Drosophila melanogaster: one gene and its partner. The gene in region 1 interacts genetically with each later gene. Each region holds a gene or a part of one and is shown on either strand. Other genes may lie near its edges.

Region 1 (8,705 bases):
ATATAGACAGTCAGACTTGGCCATATACTAAGCCGCGCAGATCGAACCGACTAGTTTTTCATTATTACCCTCATGATTATTATTGTATTGCATAAACGCTATAAATAAATGAATAAATAATTGTATGAATGTTAACTATTTCAATGACAATAATAAAATGTTAAAAACGAATACGCATGCATCGCTTATATTTCGCCCCTAATGGTGATCTATTTTTCCTGGGACTCTCGGTGTAATGGACTTTAAATGGTATCCAGCTGCTGCATAATCGTCGCTGTGACCTACGGAACTACTGGCACTTTGGGTAATGTGACTGACTCGTAGATATTTTTTATTTTCATTTTCCGTCCGCTGTCAGAAAAGTTGAGCAAATGATATAGTGCCTTCTGCCTCTATTTGGGTAAGTGGTTACCACTTACCGCCACCCGAACAGCGGCCGTTTTAAGCATATACTTGTCAAGTTTCTGAGTTTAAAAAGACATTCACTTACTTGCTTATCGGCTGGATAAGTACAAACATACACATTTGGCGGGCATGCAAATAAATATATATATATCATCGATAGAGTTAACAAACTACATTGTTAATGTGCATGTGCAATTGGTTATTTTTACAGCCCTATTACAAAATTCTAAATTAACAGAATTTTCATATATATAAAGAAAATAACCTGGGTTTGTCAATCTGCAGCTATCTCCAACATAGGTATATTTTTCGTTTAATTTTACTCATTTCTAATTTAGGGTAAAATAACATTTTTAAAATTCCAAACATCTTCAACGGCCGCTTTTATGTTTGGCTTACATTAACAATATTAACTTTATTTCCTTATTGACTAATGCGACTATAGATACCATTTGCTACCCTACAACGCCTTCTTTTTTCTCCGGTGGGCAGGACGCCGTTTCCCGAAGTCCACCTGGCTAGCCATCAGAGGATCATTGACCTGCCGCTCGAAGGCAGCCTTGGCGGCCGACTGTCGTGGCTGTTTGGCTTCCGAGGCTCCGACAGGGGAAGAGGACGTTCCAACCACTCGCTTCAGGGCCTTTGGCACTATGTACTCGGGCATGTCAGAGAGATGACTCTGTACCTTGATGGCGCGCAGAGGCTTGTCGTGCCGAAGCGCTTGCAGATCGCGTTTGTTCTCCTCGAAAAATGCCTTTAGTTTCTCGCAGTTGAGGATCTCTATCTTTATCTCTCGAATTCGAGTGTCGTGAACAGCTACGCGAGTTGCGGCCCGCCAGCAATCCTGAGCACGATAACGGAAGGACTCAACTTCTTCCATTTTAAACTGGTAGTTCCTGAAGTGATGGCACACTTAGCAATATTACAATTTTGAAGATGTTATTCTATACTCACTTGATGATCTGTTCGCCCTCTTGGGCTGCAAAACTATCGCACAGTTTCTTCTCAACTGAATCGTTTACCTTGGACTCCTTCATGCTGACAAAGGACAAGACGGAGCCCTTGTTATTTCCTCTAGCCGTCCTGCCAGCCCGATGGATATAAGACGTGACATCCCTGGGGAAGTCGAAGTTGATTACGTTGTTCACGCACTGAAAGTCAATGCCGCGGGAAGCACTCGACTCCATGTCGCCGCTTCGAGGAGATTTTCGGTTAGTCGCTGATTTGCCTCCTGGCTTTTCCATATGATGTTCGTCGGAGGCAATGATTATGTCGTAGGTGCCCTTGTTGAACTGGCTAATTGTGTGGATGCGAATGTTGGCAGGCAGCTCGGAGTTCAAGACACAGGCACGGATGCCGAACTGCTCTAGGAACAATCGAACCCTGAAACATTTAAATGGGTAATAATTAGAACGAATTATAGTAAGTATTTAGGGGCGGATGGGAATGCCGTCAGCGAGAAGATTAGTTGCTGGTCATGCGTGCGCCAACTGTTGCCAGCTGCCCACTCCCTGCATTTGTGGTTTAATCATCATTGGCTCCTGTGCATCTAAGGCGGGATTCGTATGGTTTACTCACTTGTAACACCGATCGATGCTGTTCACAAAGATTATGCTCTTGCCGCGTATGAGTCTCAGCTTCAATAAGGCGTACAAGATAGCCGGTTTATCGTTTTCCTCAGCCAGAATGCGCTGGTGCGACAACTGATCTTGCGGCACCAACTCCGGCTCCTCGAGTTTAAGCGTAACCGGGTTGTTCAGGCACAGGCCTTTCATGCGCACCACATCGTCGGTTAGAGTAGCGGAGACTAGGACAGCCTGGTAGATGGGAGGCAGGTGCTTAATCAACCGCTTGAAGTCCTTTTCGTAGCCATAGGCAAACACCAGATCCGCCTCGTCCACCACCAAGGTCTCCACATGCTTCAGATCCACCACGCTACCAGCCTCGGCGTAGGCCAGCAAATTGGCGGGTGTGGCAACCACAATGTCGGGACTTTCAGACAAGGCGTGCCGCTGGGTCACCGTGTCGTTGGAGCTATCGGCAATGTCCGCCACGCGTACAACCTTGCCGCAGGACTCGACCAGCTGCTCGATCACCTTACGGGACTGCCGGCATAGCTCCTTGGTGGGCGCCAGGACCACAGCGCTCACATACTGCTCGCTGGCGTTCAGTTTGGAGTTAAGGATCTTCTGAATCAGTGGCAGGGCGTAGGTGGCAGTCTTGCCGGATCCGGTGCGGGCGCGCACCACCACATCCTTGCCCTCCAGAAGCAGCGGTATCGCCGTCGACTGGATAAGTGTGGGCTGCTGCCAACCCAGCTGGGCCACCGCCTGAAAGATGAGCGCAACACTTTAAAATCTGGAACTGTCGGTCGCAAGCCGGGCACTCACCTTAAGGATGCGCTGATCCAGCTCCAGCTCGTGGAATTGCACCGTTTTCTGGGTCATCTGGCTCATGGTGGGCGACGGTATAAAAAAAAACGCTGGAAAATGCGCAGCGCACGTTTTCTGGCCCAACAAGAAAAAGAGCGAGGCATCGGTCCATTGAATTATCGGCGACTTTATCGGCTTATCGATAGTTGAATTAAACAGTTATTGAAATCTACTTTTAAAGGTAAGCAAATACCTTTAAAAAAAATTTAATATATTCCATTTATTAAATTAAATAAATAAAAAGAGAGAATGCCATAGTCGAGTTCCCCGACTATTAGATACCCGTTACTCAGCTAGTGTGAATGCGAACGCGAAATTTCATCATTTTTCTGGGATATCAATAGCTAATTGGGGAATAAAATTAGAAAAAATTTATAAAGTTTGGCTAGATCGACTCGGCTCCTAATCCTTAATCCTGATCAAGAATATATATACTTTAAATAGTCGGAAATGCTTCCTTCTGCCTGTTACACAATCTAGTATACCCTTTTATTCTACGAGTAACGTGTGTAAAAATCAGCAATTAAATATTTTAACTTAACATTGTATAGCACCTTAACTTCTTTTCTAGTTTATTAGAGAAATCTCATAATTCGCTCTTTTCTGACTTATTTATCCTCCGTCTGAATGGATATGTGAATCTATGGGAATCGACAATTTCTTTAAAAATACGTTTAAGCCGACTTATAGCTTCTTCTTTCGGAGATCCTATTTATAAGGTTTCACCGTATCGACCGAAAATAAAATCCGTTGCAATCCAATAACTAAACAATTGGAGCCACAAACGCTACCGTTCTTTTTTGAGATTTTACCGTATGACTTGATAAGTTTGCAATCGGCTTTTGCGGGTTACATATTAAGGTTGTTATGCTCTATTGTAAAAATTCCTCGTATTTCTTATGTTTTTTTTCTCAATGTGATAGACATTAAGGTCATATCGATATATTTACATACATAAGTAAAATTAATAAACATAACATATTCCTATAAAACTTTCAAAATATATAAATCTTTTTTGCAGTTATAAATAATATTTTTAAATATATTTATTTTTAATACAGAGTATCCAATCAACGAAATTAAGAACGCTTATTACCGCACACAGCTATCGATATATCCGCGAAAATCGATAGTTCCGCGGGCTCGCGCAATTGCATCCGAATTAGTCACTTTCGCCGGCTGTTATGGACTATACACGTGAAATTTTGACCTTCCAGTTCGGAACGTACGCGAATTACGTGGGCACACACTTCTGGAACCAGCAGGTGAGTTGTCCTACCCACTTGGCAGCCGGGAGCCTCACGAATTACACATTTCCAGGAGGCCAACTTTAGGTACGGAGACGAAAGCGAACAGGTGGCCGAGGAGCAGCTGCCCAACAATGATATTTTGTACCGTGAAGGGCGCAACGACCTCAATCGTACCACCTACACGCCCCGCCTGCTGTCCGTGGATTTGTCCGGGACCCTGGGACATCTGCCGGTGACCGGCGAGCTGTACGGCAATTTTGTGCAGCGTGATGAGGAGTTGCTGCCCCTGAGCACCGGAGAGGAATTGGAACAGGTTCGCAAGCGGGCAGAGGAGAGCGGCGTATGCTCACCGGAGCAGCTGGAAGTGCAGGAGCAGTCGAAGGCCTCCATTTCCGAATATCAGCGGGATCTGCTCAAGAATGCTGTGGTGCCCGAGAAGAACTATCAGCTGGCAGCGACGGCAAACAGTTGGGTGGACTTCCTTTACGCCAGGTATCACCCGAGAACCTTGAATGTCTTGCCGGGGCTGATCCGAGATCCGACTGCCCAAGCCCTGGGTACCTACTCTGCCGGAACAGAAATGTGGCAGGAAGTCTCCTTCAACGAGGAGTTCTGCGATCGTATCCGTTTGTATGTAGAGGAGTGCGATGGCCTGCAGGGCTTCCACGTGCTGTTCGACATTGACGATGGCTTCGGCGGACTGGCTGGGAAGTGCCTGGAGCACCTCAACGATGAGTACAGCCGGGCGAGTTTCGCGCTGCCACTTCACTATCCCAGGATCACTAGTTATCCCCAAGCGGGTAAGTAAGGTGATTTTTAAAGAAATCTAGCATATTAACACAGTTTGCCCAATTCCCAGATACCCGCCTGTCGCACAGCATTCGGGTGGTAAACAATGTGTTGGGCTACCACCAACTCAGCGAGCAGGCTTTGATGTTCACGCCGCTATCCACGCTGGAGACCATCTGGCGAAACAATAATCTGAAGTCGCGCAGTCTGCCGGGACTCCAGTGGGAGACGGATAACCTCTACCAGACATCAGCGCTGCTGGCCGCCTTTTTCGACACGGCCACCTTGAGTTACCGCCTGCGGCAAACGCCAGAATCTTTGCTACGCTTTTGCGAATGCGTCACTCCAGCGGGCAGAAAGATGACCGCCGCTGGATTGGCTCTGCCATTTGGGCTGAGGGAGGGTCAGGATCTGATAGAGTTTCTAGACCAGAGTGGCGACCACGCGCTGCTCACACAACTCACACCGGGCTGTGAGCCTGGCACATCCTACGTGGTGCAATCAGTGACGGCTCGTGGCATTCCCGCGGAACGTTTGAAACGGCCCAGGGAGCTGGCCGGCGATCAACTTCGGATGGCTGCCTATAGCTGCGATAGTATATCCCATATGCTGCAGCTATACTACCAGTGCACCTATCATGGAAGTGTTACAAATGCGGCAGCCACACCACTGCCACTAAAGACACAGCTACCTTTTCCTTATGAAATGTTTGCAGCCGGTATATCACGCGATGGCTACCGCTTGCCTGAGGGGGCGGAACGCGAGACGGGTAGTCGTGTGGATTCGGCACCCATGCTGGCCGCCGTACAGAACTCCACCAAGCTGGGCGAGCATCTGGACAATGTGCACGCCCAATCGCATCGAGTGCAGCTGGCCAAGTTGCAAGCGTACTCTAATTCTGGATTGGAGCGGGATGAGTACGATACGGCGCTGGATCAGCTGCTTGAGTTCCGCGACCTTTACGCAGACTCGCAGTATCTATAGGATGCTGTGGTTTTGGAAACTAAGATTTTGTGATAAGCCTAGGATTATGTACACAAAAAACACTCGTATACAGTCGAATTCAAGATGAATATGTCATTTTATATTGCCTCCGAATTATATTTTCGTTTAGTTCAAACGACATAATTTGATTAGTTCTTGTGCATTTATTTCTGTTAAATTGTAATTCCCTTAGAATTCCTATATCTCTTTTATTTTTACGACTCTCGTGAAGATTGTTGTAACCAAACTCAACCTATCGATGCATATATTATTTGCTTAGCTTAAAATGTTCTCGAAACCATTGTTACGGCCTGTATGTATAAGCTTAATGTGCCATGCTCCTTGTCCTCTAAGGTGTCAGGTTGGTTAGCTTTACCCGGAGCGGAAGTTGATGGGCTGTGGCCCCACCCGCGGCACTTTGTGATTGGCAGTCTCGGAAGCGGCTTTGATATTTTCGCGTTTCCAGGAAAGCGAGGAAAGTAAAAAACAAAACAAAACAAAACAAAAACAATGTTGTCTGGGCAGAGAATTTTGAGAGTCGTCAATGAAGTTTCTAATAACGCAGAATGGTCGAAATGGCCAATTTGATAAGTATTTAAAAAAAATGTTTAATTCTGAGCGGTAAAACGTTTGTGACTACAAGGTCTATAATTACATCGATTTATATCTTTAGTTTCTCAGCTGAATTCTTGGAATTTATCTGCTGTTAAAAACCTTGTCTTAAACTATTTGCTTACTATAAACATTTTGATTGGCGTACTAATGTTAATGGTGTTAAAAAACATTTTAGGGATAATATGTAATAAAAGGTGTTTGAGCTTGGAAATCGTTAATCTCATTATATCTCATAATAAATGTTGGCTTTCATCGTTAGGAAGTTATTAAATTATGCGTGCCGGATGGGCTATTTCGCCCACTGTGCGACCATGACGACATGGACGTGCCTAAAGAAATCGGTGAATTTTTATTTGCATGGCAATCAATTTTTATTCCTGCTATCCTGGAAAAGGCCAGGGGCATATTAATTTATTGAAAAGGTCTTTATTAAAAAGGATAGACTCTATAGTCAAAAAACTGAACTAACTGTTTTGGGACTAATGAGTTTTTACTTGCACTAAACATAAATTAAAGGGATGTGTGCTTTTATTTCTGAATTACTTTTATCTATGTAATTTGTCAGCTTTTTTACAGATTTTCTTTTTAAAACTCTTGCCTTTATGAAATATAAAAAAAAATATAAAACAATCGCTATGCTTTCATATCAAACACAAATAACGCCACGGACCTACGCAACCACTGGGTAACCGGAATTCGGTCTTTTGAATTGGTTGCCATCTTCTCCGTTGACCCCAAGGACCCTTCCTGGTCGACTTCACCTTTCCGCGACGTCTACGTGCGGCTACTGGCCGCTTTGTTTAACCTTAACCCTTACGGATCGGATCGAATTGGATCGGGAGCTGGGCCGCTTAATTTATACGAAAATTTATTGTCAATAAAGCGGCAGTAATTGAAATCTCAACGGGAGTAAATCACAATTTTATGGACTGCTAACGGGCGGCGACTAGGTGGATGGGATTGGGATTGGGATTAGGGCCTGGAGAAGGGGGTTCATAATTTGGGCGAGTGTTTTCCGTTTGCCGGTCAAGTTTTCCGCACCAGCCCTGCGTCCTGCGTCCACATTGTTTTGCAAATTAAATTTCAATTTGATTGGCACCGCTCCTTTAACATTCTGCCGTCTTTTTAGCACAGGTCCTTAAAGCAGCTGCTGTTCTCTAGCTGCTGCTGGTGTACTTCCGGGGAAAAAGGACCAAATCCGAAATTAAAATTACGCCAACGACTTTAATGGAATATGTGCGTGGAATTCGAAATGCCAAATTGAATAGCCTGCCGAGCTAGTGGAGTGTATATATTTCGTATATTGTTTTTTGCAGCTTTTAATTTTGTTTCGTTTTCGTTTTCATTTTCGATTCGGACCGGTCCGGTCCGGTTCGGTCTGCATGTGAATTGGGACGAGTCCTTGCATTAGCATGCAGTCCTGTCACTGCACATCCAGCCGCCACTCACTCCACCTGCAATACATGTATTTGATTAATGTGGGCTGCACCAGCTCTGATCCAAACACTGGGCCACTCACTGGGTGTCAACTTCTGTAGAATTTAAATTTAATAATCAGGCAGATCTTTAAGCGCCTGGAATGTGGGCATAAAACCAGGCGAGGCATGTAAAATAGTTTCATTTTGTAGGCCAAATTTGCACAGCTCCAATCTAAAACGTAAAAGAAGAAGTTAATATTTTAACTGGGACACAGGGACACTGGGACACTGGTAGGTACACTGAGAACGAAATGCATAATTGCATTGGAATTTAATGTCATCATAAATTCGTAATTATTTAAAACTCAAAATGCCTTAAACCTGAAGTTATTCAACATGCACATATGTATGTAAGGAATGTTGACGGCTGTATCCGGCAGCTAGTCACCTTCCAGGTGGCAAGTGTCAGGAGCGCTAATGAGCTTGGGTAGGAAGAGAACACTGTGACGAGTTCTGTACGGATTTCGGAGGCCAGAAATGGGAGCCATTGGTGGATTACTTATGGATCGCTCTACATTGATCCAGATCCTATGATCGAATAAGACACCAAGATCTGGGACAGTGTCGGTGGGTTCTCTGGTGCAGTTATGTGCTAATACGTCGCGAGCCTGATCTAATCAGTATTAAGCAGTAGCTTCTTGGCTTGGCATCAGGAACGATGGTTATTGAAGTCGAGCTGGAGCTGCTTGTAGAAATTAAGCGAGTCTAAGTGCATACACAACTTAACTCACTCACTTGATCTAAGATGGTTA
Region 2 (7,950 bases), on another chromosome or scaffold:
ATAACATGTACCCCCTAGGTACTTTCATACCTTCCATCTCTGTCCTAGCAAAAGTAAAAGGTAAAAGAACACGGGTTCGTCCTTTAGAGATTGTTTGTGCTGTCGCATGTCGGCGGTCAGATGCCTGTTCCTGTTGCTCCAGCTGATGCTGCTGCTGACAAAGATGCGATAATCGTTTCATTCATGGGACTTAAGCCCGAAACCTGCCCAGGCAGAAGGGATAAAGGGTTCAGAATCCTGTAGGGACACATTCGCAGGATGTAGTCAGTGATGTGCGCATTCGTCATTATGCGTGAGTGGTGGAGATGGCGGAACAATATTTTTTTGGGGAACGCAACTGATTATGATTTCAATGGTAAGTATGGGGATTTCTTGGAGAACTACAGTTTGCAGTACCAAAGAGTCCATCAGCGCCTTTACGTTCACCACTGTGTGGAGTTTTTAGGAAATTTAAAATTGACCTGCAATTAATTAAAGAAATATTTGCTAAACAAATGATTCAAGGTATTTTGGTCTTAAATCCATTCGCTAAGAATAGCGATTTTTATATGACGACCTTTAAAGCTGGATCGCTCAAATTTGACAGTTTGGCGACCGCTCTCCATTAATTCCCCTACTTGAGGGAACGGAAACCCGACCTGCACCTGCTGGGCATTAATTGGATCCAAGTTTGAATTACTATCAACTAAGACAAACGAGTGGGATGGAGTCGCATGTGCGTGTGCTAAAGTTTTTCCATTTTTGGGAGCGTGTCAGTGGCAGGCGTATAAATTTAAATTTACAGCAGCCGACGGAAATTGATAGTGATGGCCAAGATGTTGATAGAGTCGCCTCAATTAAGAGGAGGTCTGCGGCGGTCAGTTAAGCTCAAAGGATGCGGGGGAGGGCTATTAGGTGGCAAGCAGGATGTGAGGAAAACGCCTAGGTTGATGAAGATGGAGGGGTCTGGTATCATGGTGCAGCCCTTTTATTTATTAATTTCCTGTCCGCATGTGGTGCACCTCCAGCCAGGGAAAACAATTTGTTAGCTTGTCAAAACCATCGACCATCAAGTCCAAGTTTTTGTGGGCCTCCAACCCTTTTCCCATACAACTCACGCCCACAGCTCTCGGCAGACGAGAGATAACTCGTTAACTTTGGGCTTTAATTCCAGCTTGTTTGTTTTGCGCCTGGGCAAATCTGCATAATGAAAATGGCAAATACATTGAAGTATTTGCCTTCGGAATTAACACCAAATTATAATGGTATCAATGGGCCGGCTGATAGGGCGAGTGTATTAAATTAGCATAAAATAAACAGAACTTGCACAGAACTTGCAGCTCGGTGTTGCAGTTGCAGTTGCAATGGCAGCAAATGCAAAATGCAAAACCATTTCCGCAAACTGAAACCGACATACAAACAAACAATCGACGCAGCATTACTCCGAGAATGTGGATGACTCCGGGGGAGCACGAAAACCCTGGCCGGGCTGTAATTAAATTCAATTTGATGTACAGACAAGTGCTGCAAGCATAACAATACGAAACCAGAGAACGGATTTTGGCCCACTTTTCGGCCGCCTGGTATTCTGCACTAAAAGAAGAAAAAATTTTAGCTCCACTCTATTTCCACTTTTACTAAAATTATCTGCAAAAATGTTATTATTAATGTTAACTGTGATATTGGTTAAAGAATTGTTCTTTCTCACATAAGTTAACTTAACCACAGAAATATATAAAAATTTAGCCAGGAATCATAAATGTGCATTCTAGTGACTTCTCTGAGTGTGGGCCAAATCGACCCATTAGCTATTAACCCCTCAGTTTTAGGGCTTTATGGCCAAATTTGTTGACCTGCTGCGACCACTGATTGATTGAGTAGCGATTTCCAGCCAGGCCTTTACTATCATTTCGGACCAGCCAGTCCGCCAAACATTTAGTTGTACGCCAACGTGCCGCACTAATTTCTCTGTTTCCGCTCTCCCTGGCTGGACGGCGGATAATGAACCGCACTTGGATCCAATGACCCATGGACCGCTGAGCAGTGGCGTTGGTGCAAGGACCATGGAACAAAAGTTCAATTGATATCTACACGTGCCAGAATCCCCAGGACTGCATCTCTAAAATCATAATTGGCAAGGTTTTGGGGCAAGATTTTGGGTGCCCAAAAACATCAAGAATGCACGTGCTCCCTAGTCATTAGAAGAGTTTCCGTGTTACTGACGACTTAGCAGCAGACATTAGACCAATAAACCCAGTTAGACTCTTTTCTTTGGCGACTCCAGCAAGCTTGGCCCTAACTAATTAAGCAACAGTTTTCGGCACCTGGTTTATGCATAGTTTGGCGAAACCTCAAAAGTTTGCAGCCAAAAGTTGAGCACAAACATTTATGTTGGCGAAAAGTTCTGTGAGCAGTTGGGCTCCAGTTAAGACTGTCGCTGCTCCTTGTATTTCCGACTTCAGTCCTCCAGAAGTCATTCCTCGCAACCTCTCTTCGTGTGGAAAATCCATCTGGGTTTGTGAAAATGTGACAGAAGAGCATGCGGGGGGATAGATGCACAGATACAGATACAGATACAGATACAGATACAGATACCCGTACTGGGGGATTGCCATGGCAGCTGTTAGAGAATAAAAGTTGGCCGGCAAGTGCCTGATTGACATTCGTCGAGGCCTAATTAAAAAAGTTTCCCCACCACGCATTCCTGCTGCTCCTGTGACGTTCGACTTGGGTTCGATTCACATGGGTTATTGGTTTTTATTGTACGTACAACCGATTGTTTTGGCCACTTTACGCGCTGGCAAGCGAGTCAAGCAGTACAAATTCCGAGTCAAATCAAATAAAAATAGCAATAATAATAAAAAAAGAAGGCGTTGCCGCTCGTTTCCGGTCTTTTCTCGTCTCTTTCTCTTGTTTTCTCTATCTATGTTAAAACTTCTTCATCAACTAAATGTAATTTAAAGATACTTTTCACTGAACTGCGTCCTCACCCTTGGCGCCGGCGCCTGGTCGGATGTCTTACGCTGGAGACAAACACCAGGGCCGCGCTCGAGGAGATGTTGATCTGGTTTGGGTGGCTTGGATGCTTAGAAGCACTTGCGGTGGACGATGCCGGGACCGGACTCGTCATACTCCTGCTTGGAGATCCACATCTGCTGGAAGGTGGACAACGAAGCCAGGATGGAGCCACCGATCCAGACGGAGTACTTGCGCTCTGGCGGGGCGATGATCTTGATCTTGATGGTGGACGGGGCAAGTGCGGTGATTTCCTTTTGCATACGGTCAGCGATACCTGAAGAGGACAGAAATAGAATCCATTAGTGGTGCTACAGAACCGAGGAGCTTTGGTGTACTCATTACATGACATTTTAATAATAGCATGCATGAATATGAGATATAGGGAAAGGATATAACCCATTAGGTGAATTCTTTTTTTTTTTTTTGTAATACTACTTTCCATAAGATTTTTTTTAACTGTTATTACAAAGCTCAGCTAAATATTTAGGCTTTATTATTTAAAGATTTCCTCTCTGCCAAATGAATGTATAAAGTAACACTTGTTTTTTTTTTTAAGTATCCCGCATAGTTTTGATCCCATTCCCTCGGAAGAATTTCCTCTGAACTTTATGGTCCTAATTAATTAAGACTACGCACCTGGATACATGGTAGTGCCGCCAGACAGCACATTGTTGGCATACAGATCCTTGCGGATGTCCACGTCGCACTTCATGATGGACTGGTAGACGGTCTCGTGGATGCCGCAGGACTCCATGCCCAGGAACGATGGCTGGAAGAGGGCCTCCGGGGTGCGGAAGCGCTCGTTGCCGATGGTGATTACCTGGCCATCGGGCAGCTCGTAAGACTTCTCCAGGGAGGTGGAGGCGGCGGCAGTGGCCATCTCCTGCTCGAAGTCCAGGGCGACGTAGCACAGCTTCTCCTTGATGTCGCGCACAATCTCGCGCTCGGCGGTGGTGGTGAAGCTGTAGCCGCGCTCGGTGAGGATCTTCATCAGGTAGTCGGTTAGATCGCGACCGGCCAGATCTAGACGAAGGATGGCGTGGGGCAGGGCATAGCCCTCATAGATGGGCACGGTGTGGGAGACACCGTCACCGGAGTCCAGGACGATACCGGTGGTACGGCCGGAGGCGTACAGGGAGAGCACGGCCTGGATGGCCACGTACATGGCCGGGGAGTTGAACGTCTCGAACATGATCTGGGTCATCTTCTCGCGGTTGGCCTTGGGGTTCAAGGGAGCCTCGGTCAGCAGAACGGGGTGCTCCTCGGGGGCCACACGCAGCTCGTTGTAGAAGGTGTGGTGCCAGACCTTCTCCATGTCATCCCAGTTGGTGATAATGCCGTGTTCGATGGGGTACTTCAGCGACAGGATACCGCGCTTGCTCTGCGCCTCGTCGCCCACGTAGCAGTCCTTCTGACCCATACCCACCATCACGCCCTGGTGACGGGGACGGCCTACGATCGAGGGGAATACGGCGCGGGGCGCGTCGTCTCCGGCGAATCCGGCCTTGCACATGCCGGAGCCGTTGTCTACGACCAGGGCTGATGCTTCTTCGTCACACATGTTTGGTTAGTTTGGTGCGGGCGGCACTACAAGGATACAGACAGATCGGTTATCCCTTATGCGGGTTACGGATTTCGGATGGGCGGACAAGACTACACTCACGACGTGTAAATCCAACAGCGACAGCGATCAGAGTGATTCGTTATGCGCTCCGGCAGCTGCATTTAAATAAGTTCTGTCCCGCCCCGCCGGCCCCACGCCCATGTCCCTGTCATCTCGAACAATTGTTCATCTAGTAACATGTTGATGAATTCCGCGATATGCAACGCTGGCTGGGGATCAGGCGTTTCCGGGGAGGGTGGTCGGATGCACATCATTTCGATTTCACAAAAGTGTTCTGATTTCGGGTATTACGCCTACGGCAACAAGTTGGATTACGAATTAAAGAACCCTAGTTAAGCCACAACTTAGAGCAACTAAATTGGTACTAGATTTCAATATAAAATAAGTTGTTTTGTAAGTTGTAAGTCTTGTTATATTGTTAGAATTTTAATCCGCACACACTTATAAGCTTGTGAAATTTGGGAAAATAAATAATTTATTGGAACGCTGGGCTTAGGCTAGATAGTTTTGATATTTATATATTGTTTTAGAATGGCAATAGTCATAAATATACATACATAATATAAATATTTATATTTATTTTATATATTGTTTTAGAATGGCAATAGTCCCAAATATACACAATAGATATATTTTTTTGACAAATAGCAAAATTGGGTATTCCAATTACTTTTAATTTAAGCATCAAATGACAGAATGTGTTAAGCCAAAGCTAACAAATGGATTTATCTAACGAGCTTCGATTTAAGCTCTGACAATAGGCTCTCCGTTTTTTGATAGAATAATTTATTTCCATCAGGCCCTAAGTCGTATTAGTCAGAGCATTATCGGGATTTTGCGTTCGTTCAGAGTATTCAATTTGCTCCATTCCCAAATACCATTTATCACTTAGTTTCATTTCGTTTTCGCTAAATTATGTCTGGCTGCCAACTTTGCTATGACTTCGACAAAGAACAGAGGAGAGAACATATCGAAATATGCGCCAGGACTTGTATAGGCATCTGTAGATATATTTTTAAGTTTTTATATAAATAAACCCCCGCAAAACGGCGGCGCAGCAACAAGAACAACCCGTGAACAATGCAATGTAGTGGCCAGCCTTTCCCCCAAGTTCTTTATCTTGGTCTTGTAGGCAGCTTTTCCCTGCTCGAGTAAGAGAAATTGGTGCCAATGCTCTTCTGGGCCCCCACTCAGTCCATAGATGGTGTGGCCCGAATGTTGTCACACTCAAAAATGCAGCCAAAGCACTTGCGTTTATACATCTTATAAATGTTGACGCTGTCGTGTGGATTTCATTGAAATCAAATTGAAAAAATAGAATCAAATAATTTTGTACGGCTATGCACGGCACATAGCCCTGTGAGCCCAAAGGAAAGTGGTTGGGGGGTTTGGCGCAGCGGTGCATGCGGCCAACAGCAATTTTGCGCCTGTCCACCGATATCGCTCGATCTCATCGTGGCATTAGCCATAAGATTAATGCCCGATATTCTAATTAAGTGTGCCCCATCCGAGGAGGTGCATGCACTCTGCTTTTACTGCAGCGAGTGCATTCCCCAAAGGAGCAAACTTCTGAGCTCCAACTTTGGCCCGTTAACTTTGCCAAGTGCTCGCCAACTGCGGAGCATTACGTGACCACCTTGCGGATCAGGTACGGACACCAACCACGTATCATTGGTCGTACGCGCGTCGAGTAGTTGAAAGAGGTAAAAATAATGCCCGCCAGCAGGGACTTGTGGTTCCTCCGACTCAGTAGATAACCGCATCCAGGGGTGGAGGAGCTCTGAATACTTCGATATATTGCAACTTTTTCAGTTCACAGCTAAATGTGGCATGGGATCGGATCAATTAAGTGGGCAGATAGTATTTGTAATCAGTGCTAAGTAAGTCTTAATTAGTTCTTAGAAGGTCTTGTTTCGATCAACAAATAAGAGTGCCCTTTTGGAAATCATATTTTGGTTATTTTTCGGTTGTATATTAATAGATTACACATAGATTTCTTCAAGTAAATATAGACAGATTTACCTCCATTCTGCGCTTTTGGTACTGCTCAATTTTCCCTTGCACCCTTGCTGTCTGACCCCAACATCAATTTAGCTTGAAGTTTCAAGAGGAAAATTCGGCGAAAAAGTTAGCGCGTTGACAGGACGAAGGAGCCACCTTTGGTGGCAGAACCAAATGGCAAAGCCCTGCCCGTCCACAGCTCCACCTGCGGCACCTCCACGCCTCCTCCGGCCAGCACGCAATGCGAAAAGTTTCTGGGCGGAGAGAGGGAGCGAGGGGTGTTGAGCTGGCCTAAGAAACTTGCTCCAGTGCACAGAAAAATTAAAATACTTGCCACGCGGTTGCATTCCAAGCTGGAGGCGCCTCCGAGTAGCCGCGGGGCAGAACTATGCTTAGCTGGATTGCACGTTCCATGGCTAATTTATGATTTGTAATAGGAATACCCGTTTATAAAGTACATCATATTTTCGAGAGATTGAAACTTAAAGCGCAATTTCTCCAGCTTTCTTCCAGTTAATTTTATTTTCTTGTATCCCCCATCTGCAGCGCGGAACTTTCGCTGCAAACTTTGAGGGCCCAAGACAAGGGCTGACAGTTTGAACAACCTTCGCCCACTTTCTCTCCCTTACTTTATTAATTACACAAGTTGTCTCTGCAAATATTTTTCACTCAAATTAATATATCCCATGTGGCCACGACGGCAGCTGTCATCGGAGCTGCACATCCTTGTCCTCGCCCTCATCCACATTGGGATTCGGATCCGGATCCACTTATCCCCACGTAATTACCCTTCGCTCAAAATGCACTCCTCTAAAAGATGACGAAAGTGCACTCTACTTTGGAACGCGATTCGGTATGCTACATCTAAGAATAGTTCAGTTTAAGGTTATTTAGTCCAGCGGCAGGGTTTCGTGCAGCCACGTGCGGCCACCTCCCTCGGCGAAGTCGGCGGCGGCATGGTCCTGCCCCTCGAGGATCCACTTGGTGGTCAGCAGCCCCTCCACTCCCACAGGCCCGCGGGCGTGGATCCGGGCAGTGGAGATGCCCACCTCGGCACCAAGGCCAAACCGGAAACCGTCCGCAAACCGGGAGCTGGCGTTGTGGAACACACAGGCGCTGTCCACGCTGCCCAGGAACTGCCTGGCCGCCGCATCTGCGAATGGAAATGGAAAGCGGGGGAGAGTGTGTGTGGAAATTTAGAAACTGCACAAATTGTGGCACTACGGCACTTGGAAGTATGGAAGTGTGGCAGAGTGGCAGTGCGGCGGGGAAAAGTGTTGAATAAAATTAATTTCCCAAATGATTTAAATTTGTTGTGGTGAGCTGCG

What was found. A genetic interaction does not mean that the proteins touch.
Region 2: of mst (region 1) and Act79B, changing one suppresses a phenotype caused by changing the other (phenotypic suppression), as found in Drosophila melanogaster (one study listed by BioGRID).

The regions. Positions count from the first base shown.
Region 1 is NC_004354.4:21,384,991-21,393,695, forward strand, and holds mst (misato), read left to right. Parts: upstream 1-3,986; 5' UTR 3,987-4,021; coding exon 4,022-4,102; intron 4,103-4,157; coding exon 4,158-4,887; intron 4,888-4,946; coding exon 4,947-5,860; 3' UTR 5,861-6,543; downstream 6,544-8,705. Other genes in the region: Ddx56 (DEAD-box helicase 56), read right to left, coding at 866-1,301, 1,360-1,788, 1,984-2,735, 2,796-2,861.
Region 2 is NT_037436.4:21,981,959-21,989,908, reverse strand, and holds Act79B (actin 79B), read right to left. Parts: upstream 4,700-7,950; 5' UTR 4,661-4,699; exon of another isoform or gene 4,585-4,660; 5' UTR 4,559-4,584; coding exon 3,634-4,558; intron 3,272-3,633; coding exon 3,066-3,271; 3' UTR 2,719-3,065; downstream 1-2,718. Other genes in the region: P5CS (Delta[1]-pyrroline-5-carboxylate synthase), read right to left, coding at 7,513-7,775. UniProt on the Drosophila melanogaster protein: Actins are highly conserved proteins that are involved in various types of cell motility and are ubiquitously expressed in all eukaryotic cells.